Linked DNA regions of Macaca mulatta. The protein of the gene in region 1 purifies or fractionates together with the protein of each later gene. This does not show direct contact. Links are inferred from orthologs where the notes say so. Each region holds a gene or a part of one and is shown in the gene's direction. Other genes may lie near its edges.

The links.
Region 2: the proteins of STX6 (region 1) and SNAP23 purify together in Homo sapiens (affinity purification with mass spectrometry; 3 studies listed by BioGRID and IntAct, with this or other methods). This does not show direct contact. The link is inferred for Macaca mulatta from reciprocal best matches to the Homo sapiens genes STX6 and SNAP23.
Region 3: the proteins of STX6 (region 1) and SNAP29 purify together in Homo sapiens (co-immunoprecipitation; 3 studies listed by BioGRID and IntAct, counting the BioPlex papers as one, with this or other methods). This does not show direct contact. The link is inferred for Macaca mulatta from reciprocal best matches to the Homo sapiens genes STX6 and SNAP29.
Region 4: the proteins of STX6 (region 1) and VTI1A purify together in Homo sapiens (affinity purification with mass spectrometry; 3 studies listed by BioGRID and IntAct, counting the BioPlex papers as one, with this or other methods). This does not show direct contact. The link is inferred for Macaca mulatta from reciprocal best matches to the Homo sapiens genes STX6 and VTI1A.
Region 5: the proteins of STX6 (region 1) and VAMP3 purify together in Homo sapiens (affinity purification with mass spectrometry; 5 studies listed by BioGRID and IntAct, counting the BioPlex papers as one, with this or other methods). This does not show direct contact. The link is inferred for Macaca mulatta from reciprocal best matches to the Homo sapiens genes STX6 and VAMP3.
Region 6: the proteins of STX6 (region 1) and NSF purify together in Homo sapiens (affinity purification with mass spectrometry; 3 studies listed by BioGRID and IntAct, with this or other methods). This does not show direct contact. The link is inferred for Macaca mulatta from reciprocal best matches to the Homo sapiens genes STX6 and NSF.
Region 7: the proteins of STX6 (region 1) and VAMP8 purify together in Homo sapiens (affinity purification with mass spectrometry; 3 studies listed by BioGRID and IntAct, counting the BioPlex papers as one, with this or other methods). This does not show direct contact. The link is inferred for Macaca mulatta from reciprocal best matches to the Homo sapiens genes STX6 and VAMP8.

The regions. Positions count from the first base shown.
Region 1 is NC_133406.1:38,431,628-38,435,606, reverse strand, and holds the start of STX6 (syntaxin-6), read left to right. Parts: upstream 1-1,179; 5' UTR 1,180-1,325; coding exon 1,326-1,360; intron 1,361-3,979. UniProt on the Homo sapiens protein: SNARE promoting movement of transport vesicles to target membranes. Targets endosomes to the trans-Golgi network, and may therefore function in retrograde trafficking.
Region 2 is NC_133412.1:19,935,759-19,939,258, forward strand, and holds the end of SNAP23 (synaptosomal-associated protein 23), read left to right. Parts: intron 1-364; coding exon 365-509; intron 510-2,422; coding exon 2,423-2,488; 3' UTR 2,489-3,163; downstream 3,164-3,500. UniProt on the Homo sapiens protein: Essential component of the high affinity receptor for the general membrane fusion machinery and an important regulator of transport vesicle docking and fusion.
Region 3 is NC_133415.1:31,700,218-31,703,717, forward strand, and holds part of SNAP29 (synaptosomal-associated protein 29), read left to right. Parts: intron 1-2,716; coding exon 2,717-2,913; intron 2,914-3,500. UniProt on the Homo sapiens protein: SNAREs, soluble N-ethylmaleimide-sensitive factor-attachment protein receptors, are essential proteins for fusion of cellular membranes.
Region 4 is NC_133414.1:124,588,283-124,592,304, forward strand, and holds the start of VTI1A (vesicle transport through interaction with t-SNAREs homolog 1A), read left to right. Parts: upstream 1-1,222; 5' UTR 1,223-1,381; coding exon 1,382-1,475; intron 1,476-4,022. UniProt on the Homo sapiens protein: V-SNARE that mediates vesicle transport pathways through interactions with t-SNAREs on the target membrane. These interactions are proposed to mediate aspects of the specificity of vesicle trafficking and to promote fusion of the lipid bilayers.
Region 5 is NC_133406.1:233,015,685-233,019,184, reverse strand, and holds part of VAMP3 (vesicle-associated membrane protein 3), read left to right. Parts: intron 1-2,633; coding exon 2,634-2,792; intron 2,793-3,500. UniProt on the Homo sapiens protein: SNARE involved in vesicular transport from the late endosomes to the trans-Golgi network.
Region 6 is NC_133421.1:70,345,682-70,348,877, reverse strand, and holds part of NSF (vesicle-fusing ATPase), read left to right. Parts: intron 1-24; coding exon 25-138; intron 139-3,196.
Region 7 is NC_133418.1:38,814,537-38,818,531, reverse strand, and holds the start of VAMP8 (vesicle-associated membrane protein 8), read left to right. Parts: upstream 1-1,195; 5' UTR 1,196-1,211; coding exon 1,212-1,214; intron 1,215-2,575; coding exon 2,576-2,734; intron 2,735-3,995. UniProt on the Homo sapiens protein: SNAREs, soluble N-ethylmaleimide-sensitive factor-attachment protein receptors, are essential proteins for fusion of cellular membranes.

The DNA.
Region 1 (3,979 bases):
CAAAATGTTTTCTAGAATAGTCCTTGAACCACAGTGAGAGGAAGTTGTCATACCTGGCCCCTTCTTTATTCCTTGTAGGTGCGCTCTCCTGGGAGGCACCATATGCTGTATGAAAAATTACTTTACATGGTTATTTGCAGAATGTACAGCAACATAAAGTACACCCCATCTGGTGGAAAGTGCACAGAATCTGCAGTTCTGCTCTGTCCAGGCTGTGTGACTACAGGAAGTCGTGAAGCCTCTCTGAACTTATTTTCTCATCTACAAAATGGGAGAAATGGATGGCGTAGGGGCTCACGTCCGTAATCCCACCACTTTGGGAGGCAGAGGCAGGAGGGTCTTGTGAGCTCAGGTGTTCGAGGCCAGCCTAGGCAATATACTGAGAGCTCTATCTCTACAAAAAATTTAAAAATCAGCCGGGCGTGGTGGCTCTCACCTGTAGTCCCAGCTACTCGGGAGGCTGAGGCGAGAGGACCGCTTGAGCCCAGGAGGTCGAGGGTGCAGTGAGCTGTGATTGTGCCACTGCACTCCAGCCTGGGTGACAGAGAGAGTCCCTGCCCCCCAAAAAGGGGAAGGAGGGGAATAATACCTTCCCCCAAAGAATACTGAGATGATGCATACACAACTTTTTAGCACACTCTCCAACACAAAGTAAGACCCTACTTGAAGGAGCTGTGTAGCATCATAATCAGATACTATGCTTCATTTTAAGTCGAGGACCAGATAGATTTATAAATTACATACTGTCAAAATCAAGTATTAAAAGTAGAGGAAAGGTAAGAGGATTTTGCAAAACAGGTACAACTACAGTTTATCCTGAAAAGCCGACTGCCTACCTCTGAGGGAACAAGCCGCTCTTCACCTTCAAGCCTGAGGAGAGGGCGGTAGAAAGCCACCCACCTCCTCCGCCCCGAGGGCTCCGCCTCCAGGGCGGAGGGACGCAGGCCCAGGCCCCGCCCACTGGGGGAGGGGCAGGCCCTGATCACGTGAGTGGGGTACGGAAGTCGTGCTTCAGGCGGCTTTCGTGATTGGCCGCAGCCGAGGGTCCTGGGGGTGGGGTCAGGCTCTCTGACTCGCCGGGGGGAGCCGGGACTGGAGGCTGCAGAGGGGGCCGGCTCTGGAGTCCGGGATTCGGCCAGTGGTGCTGAGCGAGTGCTGGACCAGCGGTGGTCCCGTGCACCTGGCCTGCGCGCGTGCCCGCTGCTTGGCGTCCCCCAGTCTAAGGCGCGGGCGGCTGCGGGAACAGGCCGGGTGGGCGGAAGGAGGCCGGGAGGCACGGGCGCTCTGTGCGCGGTGGAGGTGGAGGCGGCCGGGGCCGGGACGCCATGTCCATGGAGGACCCCTTCTTTGTGGTGAAAGGGTGAGTGTCGGCCGAGGGCTCCACTGGAGGAAGAGGTGGCGGTGCTGCCTGCCCGCACCTCCTCGGTCTTCTCGCAGTAGGGGGAGGGGAGGCAAGTTGGAGCTGGGGAGGGGTCACAGTGGAGACGGCTTAGTCTTGAGGGCCATGACCAAGCGTCCAGAGACGTCTCCTGCATCCCTACCTGGACGGTGAAGCCACTGTCCCCAGCCAAGCCCCTGGTGGTGGTGGGGCCTTTTTGGCCTGTGCGCTGCGGTACAACTTATTTGGGGGTCGAGGGGCTCAGCAGCTCTGCAGGTGAGAAGGAGACACGCAGGTCCTAGCTCACACTGGCCGTCTATTCGAGCATGGGACCTTGCTTCGAAGGAGCGAAAACAGCATCTGGGCAGGAAAAGGGAAATGGCCCTCCTGAGCTTTGTAGTTCGTGTTGACGGGGGTGAACTCCATTGTCCATTGAGTTTGGAGCGCTCGTCCGCAGGACTGGCGAGACCACAACAAGCCCAGAGGCGTCTGAGCACGTTTGCTGGGAGGGAGGCGGGGGCGGGGGCCGATCTGGGAGGCTGGGGAGCAGGGCACAGGAAGACAATTCAATGGGGGGAGTTTTTACTGAGTAATGTGAGGAGAGGAAAGCAGTCGTTCATACTCAGTGATGATTTGGAAGGAAAACAAAATGAAACAAGCCAAACCAAACTTTCCTCAGCTTTCTATTAGCAACCGGAATTTTCTCACAGTGCTAAAGGAAATGAGTGTTGCTTGTTAACTCCTTGATATCATCCAGGCTGTTTGACAGGTTTCTCCTATTTCTTCTGCCTTTCAGAATAGAACTGCCTTCTGTTCCCTTGTAAGCTGTCCTAACTCCATCTTGCTCGATTGTTTCTTTGGAGATAGAAACTTCAACTGCACTTTGTAATATCCACTTTGTAGCCATTAAACAAATGCAAGAAGATTAATTCTGATGTAACTTTTAGTTTCTTATTAGAAACGTGTCAGTTTTCTGTTTTAAATGTCAAACATGAAAAATCTGAAAACTGCAAAGTTCCCAAATCAGTACTGATCACAGAATGTCCCTTGCTTTTAACGAGTTGCTGCTAGCTTCCTATTTTTGTAGTGGTACAAGCTGGCTGTTGTATACTCAAGTATTGTAGAAAATTTAAATGGCATTTTAGGTGAAAGATTTTATCGATGATGCAGTAAAATACACTTATAATATTTCTTAACATTTCCCTGGAAAGGTCTTTTTCTTCACCTTACTCTAATTTAGATGGGAAAATGCTGAGTTGTAGATTTACTGGTAATATGTGACTCCCTACCTGGAAAATGTGATATTTATTAGAAGAATTGATTAGGGGTTAATTTTAAAAATGTGTTTTTTCCTTGATTGAAAGTTCTTAATGCTTAGGTTGGCAAAGGTTATCTCTGGCAGTGGAGATCAGAGATGATCAGAAATTTTTTGTTTGACTTTTTATGGAATTTGTCAAAAGCCTAAATTCTTCTGCCGTTGTGGCATTTTTTTTTTCTTGACGGTATCCAATACAGTCGTCTAATGCTTGTTCACTGATTAAATATCACTACTTTATTGGAACATTGGTTCGGAGTTTTGATTGACTTTTACATCATTTTAGCTCCTGTCTTTAAGGTTCTTGAAGGAAAAGAGATTCTCAGTACCTTCTACTGTGGAAAGGTAAAGTCACCCATGAAGGTGTATCCAGATTTTTTGGGAGTCATGCACCTGTGTTTATTAAAAGTATCAAGAATGCATTACACAGCATGGAAAAATTAAAGATGCCTAAATTATGGCCTAGGAGCTTCTAGTCTAATCTGAGAAACAAATTACCCCAAAATTAAGTAGAAATGACAGGTGGCAAATGAATGAGTGTTGAAGTGAATGCTGCAGATGATGAGTGCCCCAGGAGTTCAGAGAAAGGCATCTCCTTGGGAATTGTTAGGATTAGGAAAGCTTTTGGAGGCAATAAGTATATCTTGAATTACGTTTTGAAGATGGGCAGAATTTAGATAATCAAGCCTGTCTCTCTTATCTGGATGCTTATCAAAGAGTCTTTTAATTGTTCTTCCTGCTTCTGGTCTCATTTCCTCTTTCAGCTGTCCTGGGATCTATTGGATCAGTGCTGTCCAATAGAAGTATAATGCCAGCCACGTACGTCATTTTACATTTTCTAGTAGCCACAGTAAAATAAAAAGGAACAGGTGAAATTAATTCTAATGTAATCTCTAGTACATTCAAAATATTCGACGTGTGATTAATACAAAGATTGATGAGATATTTTACTTTTGCACTAAGTCTTCTAAATCTAATACATATTTTACACTTACTGCACATTTAAATTTGGACATTAAATTTTCATCAGAAATAATTTATCTGTATTTAAAATTCATTAAATACTCTTTTTTTTCTTTCTTTTTTTTTTTTTGAGACAAGAGTCTCGTTCTGTTGCTCAGACTGGAGTGCAGTGGTGCAATCTCGGCTCACTGCAACCTCTGCCTCCCAGGTTCAAGCGATTCTTGCGCCTCAGCCTCCTGAGTAGCTGGGACTACAGGTGGGTGCCACCTCACCTGGCTAATTTTTGTATTTCCCTGCTAATTTTTGTATTTCCTGGGTAATTT
Region 2 (3,500 bases), on another chromosome or scaffold:
TTATGAAACCATAGGTTTCTGGGATGCACTTACAGTTTCTGATTTAGTAGGTCTGGAGTGGAGTGTGAGAATTAGCATGTTCCCACGTCTAACAGCTTCCCAGGTGATGCTGGGAATTACGCTTTGAGAAACGCTGTTTTAGAGTTGTTTCGTTCTTTTCTTACATGGCTTTAAGACACTGTGCTCTCTTTGATGAGTCTTCCAGTTTTTATTATAGAATGTTTCCCAAGAATGGTAACCTATATTCCTTTGGATCTTATACTTGCTAAGCGTCATTTTGGTTATACTTTTATGAAAATTAAATCCAGATTTACTCCATTTAAATTCAGAAAAATCTATGGAATTAACTCTCTTCTTGTAATAGCATAACTAATGATGCCAGAGAAGATGAAATGGAAGAGAACCTGACTCAAGTGGGTAGTATCCTGGGAAATCTAAAAGACATGGCCCTGAACATAGGCAATGAGATTGATGCTCAAAATCCGCAAATAAAACGAATCACAGACAAGGTAAAAGCTTTTTATTGCCACAAGAAAATGAGACACCCAGTTCAGTGTTTCCGTAATAGACATCTGTGCTAGATGCTGTGGGGGACATGGTAGAAGAAGCTCCTGGACTCATAGGTCTTAGTTCTGATGAGGTGGTGGTTTTTTTTGTTTGTTTGTTTGTTTGTTTTTGAGATGGAGTCTCACTCTGTTGCCAGGCTGGAGTGCAGTGGCACAATCTCAGCTCACTGCAACCTCCGTCTCCCGGGTTCAAGCAATTCTGCTGCCTCCGCCTCCCGAGTCCCTGGGACTACAGGCACACGCTACCACGCCCAGCTAATTTTTGTATTTTTAGTAAAGACGGGGTTTCATCATGTTGGCCAGGATGGTCTCAATCTGTTGACCTCATGATCTGCCTGCCTCTGCCTCCCAAAGTGCTGGGATTACAGGCGTGAGCCAACACGCCTGGCGAGGTGGTGGTTCTAACACATAAAACAAGAGCCAAGTCCTCCCCCTCATGGCAGTTGGTGCCTTTTGAAACCAGAGTTTTGGAATGTAGTAGTTTTACTTAAACCTTCACACATGAAGCTTAGTATCTACTTTAGCCTTTGAGTGTGTTTTTTTCTCTCCCAAATGAGTAAGTTTTATTTTGTTAACTAATTTTTTAATTGAGAATGAGGTCTTGCTCTGTCACCTAGGGTAGTGCAGTGGTACAATCACAGCCCACTGCAGCCTACCTCCCAGGCTAAAGCTAAAGCTTTCCTCCCACATCAGCCTATTTTGTTAACTAAAAATAAATTAAGTTCCTGAATCCTTATCTCATGAAAGAAAATCCGTTCTGCAGAATAGTTCGTATAGAGTGGTCACACGAAATAGAGTCATGTGAGTGAAAGAAAGTTGTGGTTCTTTTTTCTTTCCCCCTTAACTTTACATGATACCGTGAAAGTGAAATTGTTTTTGGTGTTTCGATGTGTCACATGTAAAAGTCATACCTTGACCAGCTGTAGTAGCTTCACACCTGTAATCTCAACACTTTGAGAGGCCAAGGCAGGAGGATTGCTTGAGCTCAGGAGTTTAAGACCAGAGCAAGACCTAGACTGTACTAAAAACATTTAAAAATTGACTAGGCATGGTGGCATGTGCCTATTGTCCCAGTTACTCTGGAGGCTGAGGAGAAGGATTGCTTGAGTGTAGGAGTTGAAGGCTGCAGTGAGCTGTGATTGCACCATTGCATTCCAGCCTGGGCAACAGAGTGAGACCCTGTCTCAAAAAGAAAGAAAAAAAAGTCATACCTCACTGAAATCTCAGTGAACTTTAAAGTTTAGGGTGAGTTTTTAAGCTTGGCTCTCTGTTAAATCACTTTTGATGGATTTAATTGAAACAGTGGTTCACAAGATGCTTTAAATGCTGCAGTCTGGGTTTAGGCTACATTTACCTGTCATTTTAATTCAGATGTTGGTGTGGATGGTTATAGATTCGTTCCAAAGATCTTTGGAAAGGTTATTTCAGTCTCTCCAGGTTAGACTTAGGGTGTCTGAATCCAGATGAGATTCTGTGATTCAGTTCAGAGGACTCACACAAGGTCCAATCTTTAACACAGAAGAGCACTCTTTCATATTTCATCACATCAAAAAATGCCATTGATTACAGGATGCATCCCAGTTTTAGGCGTGTTAAACCATGAAAAAATGTGTTATAGAATTGATGAAATATTGACAAGGTCTTATATGTTACACCTTTGTCATGTTTATATACCAGGGTTTTTCCAAATGAATTTCATGTTCTGTTACTTCTTGCCCAACATGAGTTTTGTAATGTAACCTCACGTGGTTTCTTGGATTTTCTCACTGTGTCAGTTACTCCAAATGTAAAATGTTTAATTTTTATTAGAGTTACTTACCTTGTAAAATAAAGCTGATATCTTTCTTGTTTTTCAGGCTGACACCAACAAAGATCGTATTGATATTGCCAATGCCAGAGCAAAGAAACTCATTGACAGCTAAAGCTACTGCTGTTCTTCTTTATCATTTATTCACTTCCGTAGCTCCTCCTTGAAAGTTATTACCTTTTCAGAGTTTAAATTTTCGGTTCCACGCTCTTCTAATTGGGAGATAATATGGAAGAAGGGCCAGAGCAGTCACAGCCCTCCTTCTCTTTTGTTTTCTATTGAGGGCCAACCGCTGCTCGGCCTTCCTTCTAGTATTTTCTTTTTCAATTCATACTCTTAGATTGGTTTTCATATGTGATGTATAATGTTTTCATCCTCCTCATATACTTTAGCAGGTTCTTTTGCTTTCAAGTTTTGGAAGCATTGCCAAAGACAGCCATGAAGAAGGAAGCTGTAGAGGTGTTCTTTGTTGTTGTTGTTTATTTTTGCTTTTGTGGTAGAGGGAGGGACAAGAGATAAGAGGTTGTTACCTCAGTAAAAACCTTCAGGCCACAAAACAAAAAGTTGCATAGCCACAGCGAAGATATAGTTAAATATAGTTTTTGATTTAAGTTGCGGTTATAGCCAATTTAGGCTAATGCTTGATTTTGGAGCTTTTATACACAAAATTTTTGTTAAGCATCACAGTTTTGCAACCTCTGCTCCAAAGAGAAAAATAGAATGAGTTTTCTTTCTTTCTTTTTTTTTTTTTTTCCTGAGTCAGAGTCTTGCTCTGTCACCCAGGCTGGAGTGCAGTGGCGCGATCTGGGCTCACTGCAACCTCAGCCTGCTCGATTCAAGTGATTCTCCTGCCTCAGCCTCCTGAGTAGCTGGGATTACAGGCGCATGCCACCATGCTCAGCTAATTTTTGTATTTTTAGTAGAGACAGGGTTTCACCACGTCAGGCTGGGCTTGAACTCCTGACCTCGTGATCCACCCACCTTGACCTCCCAAAGTACTGGGATTACAGGTGTGAGCCACCGTGCCTGGCCAAGTTTTCTTAAAGTGAGCTTAATTTCTGAACTCTTAGTGATTCATATATGTACATAAATCTGTGATCCCATTTCTTATTGCACCATTCAGGAAC
Region 3 (3,500 bases), on another chromosome or scaffold:
TCTTTCAGCTACAGATTATTCTGTCTTCAGCAGCCTGCAAAGCTAGCTGGAACTGGACTGTTAGAAAAACGTGTAGATGCTGGAGAAAATCTCTTTAATCCTAATGTGTAGCTCTGCCTTATTCCAGAAAAGACCACAGTATGGACATGAAGATGATAAACTTGAGGTAATGGAAGAAGCAGAAACACCAGATATGTTAGCAGCTCTTTTTTCTTTTGAAAACTAGCCCTTGCAAGATTTGCTTGACATACTGACTGACACAGTCCAGAAAACATTTTTCTTTTTAGTTAAAAAAGGCTGATGGTTTTTTCAGACATGTCTTGTGAACTGGCGAAAAATGTAAATGTTGAAAGCTGTAAAATTCAGCAGTTCTAAGTTTATTTCCAGCAAGAGTTAAAGTTTAATAGTAAATTCAACCAGTGTTTTAGCTTTTTGCGTATACATTATGTTTTTAAATTTCACCCATTAAACAAGGACTTAGGTTACACATTGATTCCTTAAGGACTTTAAGGAAGCCACAACCATTTATTTATAGTTGCATTTTGCTTTTCTGATTACAGTTGCATTTTACTCTTCAGCGATTAAAGCTTTTTTTTTTTTTTTTTTAACTTTGTTTTTAGGCATCAAGAGAGAATATATCTAAAAAACACTTGCGGCCGGGCGCGGTGACTCACGCCTGTAATCCCAGCACTTTGGGAGGCCGAGGCGGGCAGATCACAAGGTCAGGAGATCGAGACCATCCTAGCCAACACAGTGAAACCCCATGTCTACTAAAAAGAAATACAAAAAATTAGCTGGGCGTGTTGGCGGGCACCTGTAGTCCCAGCTATTCGAGAGGCTGAGGCAGGAGAATGGTGTGAACCCAGGAGGCGGAGCTTTCAGTGAGCCGAGGTTGCGCCACTGCACTCCAACCTAGGCGACAGAGCAACACTCGGTCTCAAAAAAAAAAAAAAAAGTATTTGCATAGTTAGTGTAATTGCTAAGCCACAGGGTGATGCGTGGATAACAGATTCAGAGGAAGGCAGCTGAGGGCAGAGGCTGCCTGAGAGCAGGAAAAAGAAGCTTGAGAGCCTTCTGGCTGGAAAGGCAGCTCAACAGATGGGCCGCAGCCGTAGATCAGTTCTGAAGCAGGGACTGAAGCAAGTTTGTCATAAATAAAGGAAAGTGGTAGTGTTCCTGTTGTGGTGGATGTATATCCACAACCAGAACCTTTAGCTCTGGAGGGACCATCAGGCTGCCACTGTGGCCAGAGAGCATCACTCACGTCTCCACTGGACAGATTTGCAGAGACTCATCTGTGAACAGAGCAAGTCCCTGCCTCCTGGAGCTCATATGCTGTGAAGAAAAGAGAGGCTGGGTGCAGTGGCTCATACCTGTAATCCCAGCACTTTGGGAGGCCGAGGCAGGTGAATCACCTGATGTCAGGAGTTCGAGACCACCGGGCCAACATGGTAAAACCCTGTCTCTACCAAAAATACAAAAAACTAGCTATGCGTGGTGGCAGGCGCCTGGAATCCCAACTACTCTGGAGACTGAGGCAGGAGAATCACCTGAACACAGGAGGCAGAGGTTGCAGTGAGCTAATATCATGCCACTGCACTCCAGCCTGGATGACAGAGCAAGACTCCATCTCAAAATAAAACAGAAAAGGATGTGGAGAAGAGGGTTGGTGGTTGGAAGGAGTTCTCCTTTAGGGAAGATGTCTGGGAAGGCCTCTCTCAGAGAGTGGCCTTTGAGAGGAGACCCTAATTGGATGAGGGATGAGAGGCTGAGCCATATAAGTATCCGGATGGAAAACATTACAGGCAGAGACAGTGGTGTGTGCAAAGGCCCTGGGACAGGGTCACACATGTTAACAGGTTTTAAAGCTGGAATTGCGGATGAACTAGAGTCAGACATTAATAGGACCAGAAGGGACACTGGTCCCTGAAATAGAATTCGAGGATTTGACCATGGCCAGGAGGCTCAGGTGGCCCACTGGGACCTCCTAAAGTGGGAACTTCATAAAGGAAGAATATAAGAACCAAAGTCCAGGGGGCAGTGCCAGGCCCCAGTCTGTGAGGGTTCCCAGAATTGGTGGGCTAGAGAGAATCTGCTTCCAGTTCAGGCCCTGGACTCTGAACCTCACAGGCACATTGCCATCCATCTTACCCGCTGCCCCCAGCATCGAGATGGGGTCTTGCTCTGTTGCCCAGGCTGGAGTGCCGTGGTACAATCTCAGCTCACTGCAACCTCCGCCTCCCAGGTTGAAGTGATTCTCCTGCCTCAGCCTCCCGAGTGGCTGGGATTACAGGCACCCACCACCACAGCTGGCTACTTTTTGTATTTTTAGTAGACAGGGGTTTCACCATGTTGGCCAGGCTGGTCTTGAACTCCTGACCTCGTGATCTGCCCACCTCGGCCTCCCAAAGTGCTGGGATTATGGGCGTGAGCCACTGCGCCAGGCCTCTGCTATCCATCTTAACATGGTGCCGTGAACCAGCCTCTCAGGAAAAGGGTCTCATGAACAAATGAGGAAAGCAAGCAGAGGTAGGGCAGGGAGGGAGAGGCAAAGGAACGTGTTGTTGGAAAGGGTAGTGTGCCCCTCACAGATGATAGTACCCGTCTCCAGATGTGCCCACTGAGAGTTTATGAAGTGGCTGCTCCATGTGGTCCTTGACTGGCCTAGGGGAGAGTCACAGAAAGCTATAATACCACCGCCTCTTGGTTTCCCCAGGAGCTTGTCCGTCAGCGAGGAGTCCTGGAGCGCACAGAGAAGATGGTGGACAAGATGGACCAAGATTTGAAGATCAGCCAGAAACACATCAATAGCATTAAGAGCGTGTTTGGGGGGCTCGTCAATTACTTCAAATCCAAACCAGCAGAGGCCCCACCTGAACAGAATGGCACCCTCGCCTCCCAGCCCAACAGCAGGTGAGTGTGTCTTCTACCATCTGGGTATAAAGGAGCAGAAGTGGGGATTAGTGCAAATGACCAATGCTTTCAGTCCACGTCAGTGTCATGAAGGGATCCAGCAACCCTTTAAGTTACTCATCAGGATATTTGTCCTCAAACATTGTGAAGCCAGAAACTGTTCTTCCGTGTTCCCATGTTCACTTGATTGACATGTAATCTGTCAACTGCTTCTCCGATAGTTGTGACCCCACTACTTTGAAAGAGAGGGTGTTCGCCTCAGCGTAATCAGTACAAATGTGACTCACTTCACATAATTTTTCCTTTAAAAAGTCTTTAGGGCTGGGTGCAGTGGCTCACATCTGTAATCCCGAAACTTTGGGATGCCAAGGTGAGTGGATTGCTTAAGTCCAGAAGTTCAAGACCAGCCCGGGCAACATAGTGGTACCCCAGTCTTTACAAAAATTACCCAAGCATTGTGGTGCACACCTGTAGTCGCAGCTCCTCAGGAGGCTGAGGTAAGAGGATCGCATGAGGCCTGGAGGTCAAGGCTGCAGTGAGCTGTAATGGTGCTGCTGCACTCCAACCTGAGCTACAGAGGGAGGTCC
Region 4 (4,022 bases), on another chromosome or scaffold:
ATCTAATTCGGTTTCCGAATTCTTCACAGAATAGAAATTGGCTGAGAGAGGCTGAGTGATTAGACCAAGGTCACAAACGGGTGAACCAGAATAGAAGGCAAGTCAATGAACTCCCTTTATGAAATTCTAAAGTCTTGAATTAAGCCAAGTGTGAATCAGACATGGTCTATGCCATTTGCCTGCAGTCTCCCCTCTATCCCGCCACCCAAACATCAAGAGAACAGTCAATCTGGCCCAAAAGTAAAGGAGCGAGAGTGAAAGCAAAGAGAGCACGCCAGGAAAGGAAGAGAGACAGCGAGAGTGTGTGTGATGTGTGTGAAATTATGACCAGAAGAATACAGGAGAAGAACCTGAATTAGAAGATTCCAGGGAAGAAAGAAGAGGAAGTGCCTCCTGGAGCGAGGGAAACGGAAGGCAGGACGGCGAACTCGGGGGAGATTTGTGAAAGGGCATCTCTGCCTGGACAGGATCCGAAGATCTGGAAGAAGATCTGAGCTACATAGATAATACAGACTACCACAGAGCAGACGCTGTTGACTTGTGCCTCAGTTTCCCGCCCGAGTCATCGAGCACAGGGCTTAGAAATAAATCCTCACCCAAGGAAAAAATATCCTAGTAAGCCAGGTCGGTCTCAACATTCAGGAGGGCCGGCTCCTACTCTGGGGGGGCAAAGACCACCAAAATCCTGCTTATATTCCCTGCCTTGACTCCCACCTCAGTGTGGTCCCTGGTGTCCGCTCTTCAGCCATCGCATATCCGGGGCGGCCTGGGCTCACCCGGAACAGATTTCTTCCTCCTTGGATAACTCCGTCATGGGCACCTCAGTCCAGGACAAGCAGAGAGCAAACCCTGGCCGCGAAAGGTTGGAGTGCGGGACCTGCTACAAGCCAAATGCCTCTCGACCAGCGCCCTCGTCGCGACTCTCCCGCTCAGGACCCCTGCGCAGTCTCCGTTACAGTCACTTCCGGGGGTTCGCCGCCTCAAACTTCCCTCCGGAAGCAAGTTCCTGTGACCTGTAGCTTGGGGATCCGGAGCCGATTCCCAGAACACGAAGGGGAAAAAAAACTCTCCTAATGATCCCTCAGAACCTGCATATTTTCATACGCTTTTTTGGGGGGCCACTAATTGGGGCGCTTTTCCTTAGCGAACTTAATTATCTTAAAGACGGAGCGGAAAATAAAGCACGCACGCAACCCAATTTCCGGAGAACCGAGATCGCGACGAACAACCAGGAAGCGACTGGGTTGAGAGCTGTTCCCGGTTCTCCGTTCTGCTCTCGGGGGCACCTCCCGGGGTTCCTAAGCCGCGGCGCCCCTCGCTGCCCCTCGAGGCCGTTTCCCTGACCTAGGCTTTGGCCTGGGCCACTCGTTCCGGAGCCGTCATGTCGTCCGACTTCGAAGGTTACGAGCAGGACTTCGCGGTGCTCACTGCAGAGATCACTAGCAAGATTGCGAGGGTCCCACGACTCCCGCCTGGTGAGAGCTCTGCCCGACTGGGCGAGGGTGCTGGGGAGCGCGGGGAGGGTGCGGGCGGTGGAACGCCGCCCGAACAAGTGTGTCTGTGAGGCGCGAGGCTGGAGTGGGTGGTGCTGGCTGTTTCCCGGAGGGGTAGGGCTTGCCTTGGTTGAGGGTAAAGAGTCAAGTTCGGGTGTGGGGTGCAGTGAAAAGAGCCTTCGGAATCTGAGCCATCTGAGTTCGAATCCCGACTTCACTCCCTTGGAACTTGTATAACCTGGAAACGTTTCTTAACGTCTTAAGAGTCTTAATGTTTTCGTTTGTTAATTAGAGATGTGAGTATTAAAAGAAAATGAATGAAAGTACGTAGTTGATGGATCTACAATCTACAGCGGCGTTGTTGTGTTAGTAATAATATTGTTATAATTATATGTGGCAAAATAGAGGTAGGAATCAGGGTGCCTAGATTCAAATCCCACCTCTGTCACTTAAAAGTTGTGCCTCTTAACTGGGGAGGCAGAGGTTGCAGTGAGCCGAGATCTCGCCATTGCACTCCAGCCTGGGCAACAAGAGTGAAACTCCGTCTCAAATAAATAAATAAAATAAAATAATAAAATAAAAGTTGTGCCTCTTAAGCAGACTGCTTAGTCTCTTTCAACTTTTCTTCTTAGTAAATGGGGGGAAATTGTACTTCTGTCATGGGGTTGTTAGGTAGATTAAATTTAAAAAACATATTTAAAGCCCCTTTGGTGTTGTTAGTTGCTGTATTAGCATTAGTATTTTTCATATCTCCCCATCCCCATTTCTTGTTTCTCATCCTTCTTGGGGATTTATTATATAACGCAGTTTTATGTCAAAGTTGGTACAAGATAGTTTTTCACACTTAAAAAATTTCACATCTCCCATCTGGAAGTGTTTTTGTTTTGGGGTTTGCTTTTGTGTTTTAGCACATCTGATTTTCTATGCTAGACTGTCACCTTTGTGAAGGTGGGAGCTGGGTCTGATTTGCTTGGTGCTTACTTATTAGGGGCTCAGAAAAATAAGTGAATGAGCAGGTGAATATAAATATGATCTTTTGTAACTTTGGTTTGGAAAATGTTGTTTCGGGGATTATCTTTCTCTACAGATTTGAGTAGTTAATCACAGAAAAGGATTTTACATTTTTGTTTAGTTTTGTTAGGGAAACTGAACCATCATCTGGCTGCTAGGCTTGTCCTTACCCTAGCTCCAGGATGTAAAGTGTAGAAAGGGGGATGCGCTCATTAATCTTCGGATTGGTGGGCACTTCACTTGCCCAGTTGTCCTGGTACTAGCAGTAATTTCTCCCGGACCTAAGTTGTCATTCCTCTTTCCCTTTCCCTACTTCCCCCAAAACTTACATGTTTATAAGTAATTTTTTCCCCTTATTTCTTTGTTTTTCTTCCCCTCACCTATTTTCTGTTAATACGGATATTTGCTTGAAGCCAGGATCTCTGAACTTACAACCCACTCATCTCCTGAAGTCCCCAGTTAGTTCTGGAGGAGATGGATGATGTCTTAAAGAGGTTTATGAGTCCAAGTAAGGGAACAAGAGGAGAGAACCAAGGTAGTATATACCACCAAGCTCTGCTGCCTCAGAGATTTTTGTGTCGAAAGTGGCTGATGGCCTCACCTCTTCATGATACATCACCTCGCCTCTTCTCTTCAGTTCTGCTTTTCTCCACTGCCAGAGATCATCTTGATTTTTGTTATTGTTGGAGACCACTTCCTTTGAATTGAGTCCCAGAGCCTCAGAGTATCAGGACTTGTGGTTCCAGTTAGAGTTTTACTCATTTTTAATTGTAATTGTTTTAGCAGTAGAAACATTTCTTTGGGTTATTAGCTTTTGTATTGGGAAGCTGTTTTACAAGGTAACAAAATCATCCTCGCATGCAAAGTTGTAAAAACTATTTCCAAGAAAACAGATCGTGTCACAATTTTTTTCTTACCTTTATATTTTAATGTAACAATTCTTAACACATAGAAGGAAACTGTTTGAATTCAGTACCTTAAAAATAAAACTGTGGGTGGGGCGCGGGTGGCTCATGCCTATAATCCCAAAACTTTGGGAGGCCGAGGCGGGCAGATCACTTGAGGTCGGGAGTTCGAGACCAGCCTGACCAACATGGAGAAACCCTGTCTCTACTAAAAATACAAAACTAGCCCGGTGTGTTGGCGCGTGCCTGTAATTCCAGCTGCTCAGGAGGCTGAAGCAGGAGGATCGCTTGAACCCGGGAGGCAGAGGTTGCGATGAGCCGAGATTGCATCATTGCACTCCAGCCTGAGTGACAAGAGCGAAACTCCATCTCAACAAATAAATAAATTAAAAAAAAACTGTGCCTCTCCTTAGCTGTAGTATTATGTAAGGCCCAAACACAGGAGCTACGTTACAATTGAAAGGAGACTGCATTGCTGGCTCTGGAAAAATGCTTACTGACTTGTATTATTGAATAATCATAATTCTTTTATTTTTTTTTTCTTTATGAGACAGGGTCTTGCTCTGTCGCCCAGGCTGGAGTGTAATGGTGCAATCTCAGCTCATTGCAACCT
Region 5 (3,500 bases), about 190 Mb from region 1:
CCTGCCTGAAATTTCTGTTGACTTACAAAATCAAATTGGAATTTTTTTTAACCAAAGGAATTTTAAGGAGGGTTGTTTTTTATTGAGGTGAAATTACCATAACATACAACTAAACATTTTAAAGTGTATATAATTGAGTGTTATTTAGTATATTCGTAATATTTTGCAACTGTTACCTCTTTCCATTTTCAAAACTTTTTCATCACCCTAGAACACTTCATACCCATTTAGTAATCATTCACTATTTCCCCTTCCTCCCATTTCCTTGTTACCTCTAATCAGCTCTCTCTTTCTGTGGATTTGCCTGTTCTGGATATGTCATATAAAAGGAATCATACAGTATGTGGCCTTTGGCATCTGCCTTCTTTCACTTAGCACAAAGTTTTTCGCATTCATTTAAGTTGTAACGCGTTGTACCATGTTCCTTTTTATGGTTGAGTAATATTCCATTGTATGTGTATACACAATGTGTTGAGCCATTCATTTGTTAATGAGTCTTTGAGTTGTTTACATCTTTCAGCAATTATGAATAATGCTGTTATAAACATTCACAGGAAAGATTTTGTTTAGACATATGCTTTCATTGATCTTGAATATATACCTAGGAGTAGCATTGCTAGGTCATAGTAACTGTATGTTTAATTTTACGAGGAACTGCCAAATTGTTTTCTACAATAGCCACACCATTTTATTTTCCCACCAGCAATGTCCAAGAGTTCCTGTTTCTCCACATCCTTGCCAACACTTGTTTTCCATTTTGATTATAACCATCCTACTGAGCTCTTTGGGTTTTCATTTGCCTTTCTCTAATGATTAGTGATGGTAAGCATCTTTTCATGTGCTTATTGGCCATTTATATGTCTTTAAAGAAATGTCTGTTCAGGCTTTGCCCATTTTTTAATTGGGTTGTTTTTGAGTTGTGAGAGTTTTTTATGTGTTCTAGATATTAAATCTTTCTTTAGTAGACATGTGATTTGCAAATACTTTCTCCCATTCTGTGGCTTGTCTTTTACGTTCTTCAAAATGTTCTTTTTTAATTTTTATCTTTTTTTTTTTTTGAGACAAGAGTCTTGCTCTGTCACCCAGGCTGGAGTGCAGTGGTGCAGTCTCAGCTCAGTGCAGCCTCCAAGCCCCGGGTTCAAGTGATTCTCCTGCCTCAGCCCCCAGAGTAGCTGGAATTACAGGCACCCACCGCCTTGCCCAGCTAATTTTTTGTATTTTTAGTAGAGACAGTGGTTCACCATGTTGGTCAGGCTGGTCTCGAACTCCTGACTTCAGGTGATCCACCTGCTTGGGGCTCCCAAAGTGCTGGGAATATAGGCATGAGCCACCGCACCTGGCCTGATAATGTTCTTTGATGCACAAAAGTTTTTAATTTTTATGAAGTCCAGTGTATCTGTTTTTCCTTTTGTTGTTCTTGATTTCAGTATCAAATCTAAGAATCCACAGTCAAATCCAAAGTAATGAAGATTTACCCTTATGTTTTCTTCTAAGAGTTTTATGGCTTTAGCTCTTACACTTAGATTATTGATCCCTTTTGAGTTACTTTTTGTATATAGGGTGAGGTAGGGATTCAACTTCATTCTTTTGCATGTTGGCTCTTCAGTTGGCCCGGCACTGTTTATTGAAAAAACTGTTGGATGGCCTTCGCACTCTTGTCAAAAATCAATTGGCCATAAATGTTTTCTAGTTTTCATTGTCCAAGTCATTCGCCTTTTGGTTAAATTTATTCCTAGGTATTTTATTCTGTTGGATGCTATTGTAAACACAATTGTTTCCTTAATTTCCACCTCAGATTATTTGTTGCTGGTGTATAGAAACACAACTGATTGCTATGTGTTGTTGTACCCTGCAACTTTGCTGTATTTGTTAGCTCTAGCAGTTTGTTGTGGATTCTTTGGTATTTTTTATATAAAGAGAATCATCTGCAAATACAGATAGGTTTATTCTTTTTTTCCAATTTGGATGCCTTTTCTTTCTCTTGACTAATTGTTCTGTTCAGAGCTTCCAGTACAGTATTGAGTGGCAGTGTGAAAGTGAGCATCGTTGTCTCGTTCCTGATCTTAGGGGGGAAGTCTTTCACCATTGAGCATGATATTAGTTGTGGATTTTCCCATAAATGCCCTTTATCATATTAAAGAAATTCCCTTCTATCCTTAATATGCTGATTGTTTTGATGATGAAAGAGTGAGCTCATTTTTTTTAAAGCGAAAGTTTGGCTCAAAGTAATAAAGTGCTGACCTGAAAGAACAATGTGCCCATAGATTGTCTTTGAAGTCTCTGTGCCTCTATTTTTTTTGGGACGGAGTCTCACTCTGTCGCCCAGGTCGAAGTGCAATGGCGCAATCTCACCCACTGCAACCTCCGCCCTCTGGGTTCAAGTGAGTCTCCTGCCTCAGCCTCCTGAATAGTTGGGATTACAAGCACCCAGCACCACGCCCGGCTAATTTTCTTATACTCTTAGTACTGAGACAGGGTTTCGCCGTGTTGGCCAGGTTGGTCTCGAACTCCTGACCACAGGTGATCCACCCGTCTCGGCCTCCCAGAGTGCTGGGATTACAGGCGTGAGCCACCACACGTGGCCCTATTCCTCCATTCTTTGTGCATTACTTGTTGTGATCACACTCATCTAGGTGGTGGACATAATGCGAGTTAATGTGGACAAGGTTCTGGAAAGAGACCAGAAGCTCTCTGAGTTAGACGACCGTGCAGATGCACTGCAGGCAGGCGCTTCTCAATTTGAAACGAGTGCAGCCAAGTTGAAGAGGAAATATTGGTGGAAGAATTGCAAGGTAATTATCTTTTAACTCACCTTTACATTTAAGCCCCCTTCTCCATTCTCAGAGAATTAACAGGCTACAGATAATGGACTTTCATGACTCTGGGAGGTGGGTTTGATTTCCTCCACATGGAAATGTGGGTCCACTGTGAATCTGAAACACTGACTACATACCCTTTCCTAGCCTCACCCTGGGAATCCTCTATGTGTTGTGGCTGATCTTCAGAAGATGCACGTAGAACAAGAATATCCAAAATCACTCACAGTCATCAGCCCCTCCCAACCCTCTACCCCAGCAGGGCCCCAAACACATAGGAGAGGGCTGGAATTGGTTAGTTTTCGTGTAGTTCTGTGAATGGTTCCAAGGTCAAGGGAAAGAAATGCTAGAAAGCCACAGTGTGCCCAACAGAAGAGTAGAAAGCAGCCCGCCCAGGAGCACAAGCCAAAGCAGATTTTATACAGTCAGTGAGTCAGCGTGCTGCGACCAGATCCAGATGTATCCTGTCCTCTGCCTTGTTTACAAGTGACACTTTGAGACACAGGGCAAGCTGAGCAGCCTTTCCATATGTGGAAAACTTGTATACACACACAAATGCCTAGCTAGAGGCCACACATCATTTGAACATCTTTTAAAAAGCAGGGAAGTTACCTTCAGGCCCTAATTGAGAACATTTAATTTAGGCTTTAGAAATTATGAATTCTTCCAGACTGTAAGCACCTG
Region 6 (3,196 bases), on another chromosome or scaffold:
GATTATTGTTTATTGTTTTTGTAGCTTTTGGGCAACTTCAAGGATAAGGAACGCACCACAATTTCTCAGCAAGTCAAAGGGAAGAAGGTCTGGATAGGAATCAAGAAGTTACTCATGTTGATCGAGATGTCCCTACAGGTAAGGGACTTCCTTCTCCACATGACTCAGACAGAACAAAGCTTCAGGACACACCAAGAGGGTTCAGTATTTCCTTTGCCAAGGGTTTTAATTAAAGTTTTGATTTTCTTATATTATTTCCAAACTTAATTTGGTAGCCTGCTTCTGAGATTGACCACTTACCAATACTTTTCAACTTCTTAAAATTCAAAAATGGAAGGAAAGATTATAAAGTTAGTTTTAATTTAGGGAGCCACTAGATCTTAGAACTAGAAAAGACTTCAAAGAGCAATTGTTCTGCTGCCCCCTCATTTTGGAGATGAGGATACTGTGTGTGCCACAGGCTGTCAGTGAATTATCCAAGATCACTTCGCCAGGTTATTGATGGAGAAGGGATGGTGTTGCACCTCAAGTCAGTAGGCGACCGCACATATACCAAATGGTGTCTGGGAGACTGTTTTAAGGGACAAGTTAATTAAGTGGTGCAGTCTAGACCTGGGATCTGTATATTTGTCCCTGGCTGGGCTCCTAGAAATTTCATGCAAACTACTGTAGAGTTGAAGCATCCAGAATCATGAAGAAAACTAAGCCCCAGGCTGCTGCCTGCGCAAAGACAGATGAAACTTCTTTGGGACTTTCTCATATCTCCTGGCAACTTACCTTTCCTCTTTTTAGAACTCCACCCTTCCATATTCCCATCCTGTGTCTTCTTGTCCTTATCTGACATACTAGTTAGCTGATAAATATCTCCCTATCAAGCCCTATGAATTCAGAGACCTTGGCTCTTACTGTTGAGTCCAAAGTCCCTGGAACAGAGCTAACACATAGGAGGGTGCTTAGTAAACTTTTATTACTATTATTATTATTATTATTATTATTATTATTCTTCTAAGACAGTGTCTCGCTCTGTCTCCCAGGCTGGAATGCAGTGCCATGATCACGGCTTACTGCAGTTTTGACCTCCCAGGCTCAAGCGATCCTCCTATCTCAGCCTCCCAAGCTGGGACTACCAGCATGTGCTACCGTACTCAACTAATTTTTGTATTTTTTGTAGAGACGTGGTTCACTATGTTGCCCATGCTGGTCTTGAACTCCTGAGCTCAAGTGATCTATCTGCCTCAGCCTCCCAGAGTGCTGGGATTACAGGCATGCACCACCATGCCTGGCCCTCAGTAACTTCTTTTTTTTTTTTCTTTTGAGACAGTCTCATTCTGTTGCCCAGGCTTGAGTGCAGTGGCATGATCTCGGCTCACTGCAACTTCCACCTCCCAGGTTCAAGGGATTCTCCTGCCTCAGCCTCCTGAGTAGCAGGGATTACAGGCGCCCATCCATCACGCCCGGCTAATTTTTTGTATTTTTAGTAGAGATGGGGTTTCACCATGTTGGCCAAGCTGGTCTTGATCTCCTGACCTCAGGTGATCTGCCCACCTCGGCTTCCCAAAGTGCTGGGATCACAGGCGTGAGCCACTGCACCCGGCCAGTAAACTTTTGTTGGATGAATAACTATAAATTCATTCTGGTCCTAGGTGGACAGAGTGATTGTATTCTAGGCATCATGTGTTACTTACTGATGGTCCTGCCATTCTGCTAGTATGGGCAGTGAGTGGCAGAGGTGAAGTTTCTGTTTCAGTTACATCTGAAATAGGCTCTTGGACCAATAACACATTGGAAACATGAAGTGAATGCTTTTTAATCTTTTCTGGTAAATTTATCTGAAAATAAAATTTTTGTGGCTTTCAGAAATCTAATTTAATCTAAGCTTTCAGATGGACTATTTTTAAGTCAATTAATTTATTTTCCACTATGAGCCATAAATTAAAGTTACAGACTAACCACTTTGTTTAGACTTATTCTTGGTAAAGGTGCAAATACAGGTGTATTGGCTCTTTCCTTGAAAAAAAGATAAATCTGTCAGATTGTCAGCTCTTTTTTTTTTTTTTAAGTTTCAGTTTAATTTTTTTTTTCAATAATTGCATAGAAGAAACTATGTGGATTTTTTTCCCCAACCCTCATCCCTTTCCCTTCCTTTGATGCCTGCAGGTCAGTGATCGAGTTAATGCTTCTTATGCATGTGGGGTAGAGAGTGAGAGTGGGGCACTCAGGCCTAATCTGCAGCGACTGACATTTCATAGGCCTCTGAGTTTGAACCCCTTCATGTCAAATGGATTTCGTGCAGCTGAGTGAATTCTCTTTAGATCTGCCTTAGAGAGGCTGAGCCTAAGTGAAGAGGCATGTAGTTTTGCAGAATATAAGTCATGTTACCTCTCTGTTCACTACACGCGATTCTGTTAAAACTTGCACAGAGCTGAGGATCTGCTCTGACTGGATGTCACCTGAGGGAATAAAGTCATTTATCTAGATTACTTTTTTCCTCCCTTTCTCCTGACTTTTAATTCCATAGCTACAGGCAAGTCAGTAAGTTGTTGCTCACATATATTAAATATATTTAATGGGCAAAGAACTGCAAGTACCAACTACAACTATGCTTCAGCCAGTTCCTCTTTTTTTTTTTTTTAAGAACTTGACAATTGATTCATATGTAATTCTATTCCCAAAGAGGAAAAATGTTTCTTTTGTTAGCTGTTCACACTTTTTCTTAGTCCTTTGTAGTCTGACCTCTTACCTTTGATACATTTGAAACTTCTGTTCAGTGTTTTTCTGAGATAGAAGAAATCTTAAAAAAAAAAAAAAAGGAAAAAACTCCGTGGTTGGAGGGGGGTCCGATTGCACATCTACCCACAGCTGCACTGAGCATTTGAAAGTTACTCCTGGAGGGCAGGGAGTTCCCTCTTGGGAAACAGACTCCTGCTCTGAAACATATTTTAAAAGTTACGTGTGTTTCTTACAATAAAAATTCATCTTCAGGAATTAAAGATGTTTTTAATGATTGTTTTCTAGATAACTTCGTATCTCCTGTGGGCCTACGAGAATAAAGTATATTTAGCAAGTTAGTATAAATATGAATAGAAAATGAAAACCAGTCTAGATAGTTAGTAATAACCACCTGAACCAAGCACCTGAAACAAAAGTTGCACCATTTTTTCTTAGACTCATGACAGGAGACCCAGATTCATCTAGA
Region 7 (3,995 bases), on another chromosome or scaffold:
GATCAATTACCTCTGTGGTGGTCCCTGAAGGGAAATGCAGAATTGCTGAACTCTGGAAGGGAAGGAGGGGTTTGGTGAGCCCTCATTACAGACACTGTGCTAGTGGCAGTGCACTGCACACGCTATCTTTTTTTTTTTTTTTGAGACAGAGTCTTGCTCTTGTTGCCCAGGCTGGAGTGCAATGGCATAGTCTTAGCTCACTGCAATCTCTGTCTCCCAGGTTCAAGCGATTCTCCCGCCTCAGCCTCCTGAGTAGCTGGGATTACAGGCACCTGCCACCATGCCTGGCTAATTATTTTGTATTTTTAGTAGAGACGGGGTTTTGCCATGTTGGCCAGGCTGGTCTCGAACTCCTGACCTCAAGTGATCTGCCTGCCTTGGCCTCCCAAAGTACTGGGATTACAGGCGTGAGCTACCATGCCCAGCCTCTTTTTGCTTCTTACCAGCACTGTCTGAGCTAAGCATCAGCACCTGCAAACTCCACAGAGGTGAAAAGGTTCACTCAGGGGCCTGTAACTAGTAACCCAGAGCTTTCTGAATCAGAGCCCAGGATCACAGTATTCCAGACTTCAGGGGTTTTAGTGCTTTCTGTCACTGAGGGACCTGAGAACAAGTGTTATCCAGCAAGAAATTTTCATAACTGCATTTTGTTTCCCTGTGAGCCAGGCCTGGCATGGTTGATCTCTGTCTCTAGAAACTGGAGTCAGATATTCAAGACATTAAAAGGAGATGGCTGGTGGGGCGTCATGGCTCCTAGGACTTTGGGAGGTTGAGGTGGAAGGATTGTCTGAGCCCAGGAGTTTGAGACCAGCCTGGGCAACATGGTGAGACCTCATCTCTATTTAAAAAAAAAAAAAAAAGAGAGAGAGAGAGATGGCTGCCCTTTTTAGATCAGGAGGTCCAGCCTCAGGAAACCTTGGAGGGCTGCTTGATCTTTCTTTTCTAATTCCTGAAAAGTTAGAAGACCTTTAACATCTGAGAGCCCTATTACTCTAAGCTTAAGCTCTTGTTTGGGAAGCCACTGGGTGGACAGTGAAGAGTGCCCGCCTACCTGGGGAAACCTGAGTTAGGTGTGGCTGGAGCGACTCGAGATGCGAGGTGGGCGGGGGCAGGCTGAAAGCTGGAGCAAGCAGGAAGTGAGCTGACGGCCACCCTGGGAGGAAGCCGACTAGGCGAATTCACCTGCTGATCGGCCTGGGCTGCTCTGAGACATGGTGAGCGAACTGGAAACTAGGAAAGGGCTGATTTAAAGAGGAGCCAGAAGGGGCTCGGGACTGGGGGTTGGCTGTGTGGGGGGAGGAGAGTTGGCGGCAAAGTTAGAGGGCTGGGCCAGTGCTGCCTGTGGCCTCTCCTCTTTGACAACTTGGCTGCAAATAGCTCTGAACCGTCCTAGCAGGTGTTTCTATTCCTTCTTCCTCCCTCCCCTGACCTCTGTGCTGGTGGGGAGCTGGGCTTCCGTGCCAGTGCCAATGGGGGCTCCGAATTCCAGGCAAAGTGTTGTTGTGCCTTCCTCCTCCAGGGAGCCCGAGGCGGGTGTTGTGACACCACCAGGCAGTGCCTGGGCAGTTTCCAGTTCAGATTCCAGCCCAGCGGCAGGAGCTCTCCTCTCTGGCCTTTCACTTTATCCCTACACAGAAACACAAAGGATTTGTGTGTCCACTGAGTCCTTTGGGTGTCCTTTCTCCATTAACATGAAGAAGAGAACTAAGGGTTTATAAGATAACCAGAAGTTGGTTCTCTGTGATAAGCTAGTTCTGACCCATGCCACTGGCCTGTTTTTGGAGGTCAAGGAGGGAGGAGCTTAATAATATTTTTCTCTCCTTGTTCAAAAACCTTGTCATGAAGCCTCTGAGATGAGACATCAGCCAGGGAGGACTAGTCCTCCATTTCCCCCAACACCCAGGCGGGTATTTTTATTTAATGTCTGCATAAGCAGGTGGTTGCTTGGTGCCTGCGCGTGGTGCCCAGTGGTAGGGAAAGCAGAAGTGTGTGGCTCAACGGCTGTGGGCGCCTTCTGGGGTACTTGGTTGCCTGTTGTTCTGGGTCACAGCAGCAATGGCATTGCGGCCAGGGCCATGCTCCAGCAGGTATTTAGAGGGGCAGATGGGTGAGGCTGGGTGAGGGTGTTTTGCTGGCCAGCACAGACACTTTCAATGAGGATCCCGAGAAATCAGGAAAGGGGGGTGGCTCCGGGAATTGTAAATAGTGGTGGGCTCTGCCCTGGAAAGGGAACATTGTGAGATGCTGGCTCTGCTGTATTCTACGGCCTTCTCTAGGGAGCAAGGAAGCAGCGGGGAGGGATTTAGTGATGCGCTGCTTTTCCTTGTCAGGGGTCCTAACAATCCCGAAAGAAGTTTGATCTAGTCTCTTTAGCATCACGTCTTACCTTCTGAGGCTTACAAATGCATTTATTTTTGATTACACAAGTAATACATGAAAACATTCTCTTTGTAAACATTTCAAGCATTTTACAAAAAGCTGAAGTCTGCCTGAGGCCTTACCCTCCCCAGGCCTCTGAGGCCAAGTCTCCAGTTCCCCCACCACTTGGTCTAATTAACCCCGTGTTGCTGTGCAGGAGGAAGCCAGTGAAGGTGGAGGAAATGATCGCGTGCGGAACCTGCAGAGTGAGGTGGAGGGAGTTAAGAATATTATGACCCAGAATGTGGAGCGGATCCTGGCCCGAGGGGAAAACTTGGAACATCTCCGCAACAAGACAGAGGATCTGGAAGCCACAGTGAGACAGGGAGCCCACTGGAGGCTGGAGGAAAAGAGGAAGGGAGGGAATTTCTTTTTGGTGGGGCAAAATGAACAGGAGGGTCAGAAGTGTAACATTTCTGTTGCCTTTCACCTGGTTTGGGAGCTGATGTGAGCTGAGTCTCCACTTCTGAATCTGCTCTGCTCCACAGATTGTTATGGATCCCAGGGAATGGATCCCATGACTGGGGCTTGAGGTGGCAGCTCACCCATAGAGGCATATTCTGAGACTGATAGCTCAGTCAGCCCATGCATTCTCAGGCTTCTCTCCCGGGAAACTTGTTTTCCCTTTGAAGCCTGCCCATGACAATCATTTGGATCTGACCTTCCCAGGGCAGAAGTATTGGCTTTGAGGAAACCCCCCCACCGTGGCCTCTAGCCTTCTCTAGGAGCTATTAGACAAGGGGTGGGAAATTGCTGGCATCTTGCTGAGTTGGCTTTAAAAAGAAGGAGGAAAGAGCAGAGAAATGCTTTGATCCCAGGGTCCCCTGCTAGATGAAGGCTAAAATAATATCTCCCACACATCTTGCTAGACTTCATTCTTCTCTCTCTCCAGCCAGGGGCTGCGGCCAGCTGTTTCAGGGAGGAAGTAACTCCAAAGTTGAGCAAAGTCTGGAGCCTCAGGTTTTGTGTCCAGCTGGGAAGCTGGCTCTGGCTTTCTTAGTCCTGTGTGAACTCTTGGCTCTTGGGTATTGCTCCCTTGTCTCCCTGGGGCTCATTGCCTGTTTCTGTAGCTTAATTGTAGCTTAATTTGGGGAGCATGGCCCCGGGAATTTTTTTTTTTTTTTTAATAGAGCCTCACTCTGTTGCCCAGGCTAGAGTGGTGCAATCTCGGCTCACTTCAACCTTCGCCTCCTGGGTTCAAATGATTCTCTTGCCTCAGCCTCCTGAGTAGCTGGGATTACAGTGTGCACCACCACACCTGGCTAATTTTTGTATTTTCAGTAGAGACGAAGTTTTGCCATGTTGGCCAGGCTGGTCTCGAACTCCTGACCTCAGGTGATCCACCCACCTTGGCCTCTCAAAGTGCTGGGATTACAGACTTGAGTCACCATGCCTGGACAAGCACTAGGAAATTTAGTGTCTATAACTCGAATTGCTGGGCATGGGGAAGAGTGCATGGAGGAGGAGGAGTTCCCTTACTTCCAACCCTCTGTACTGTCCTGGTCCCTCCTCCAGCCTCAGCAGTCCCGATGGGGCAAGGAGTCCTGTAGCTGGGAGATGTGCCCACCTGGAGCCTG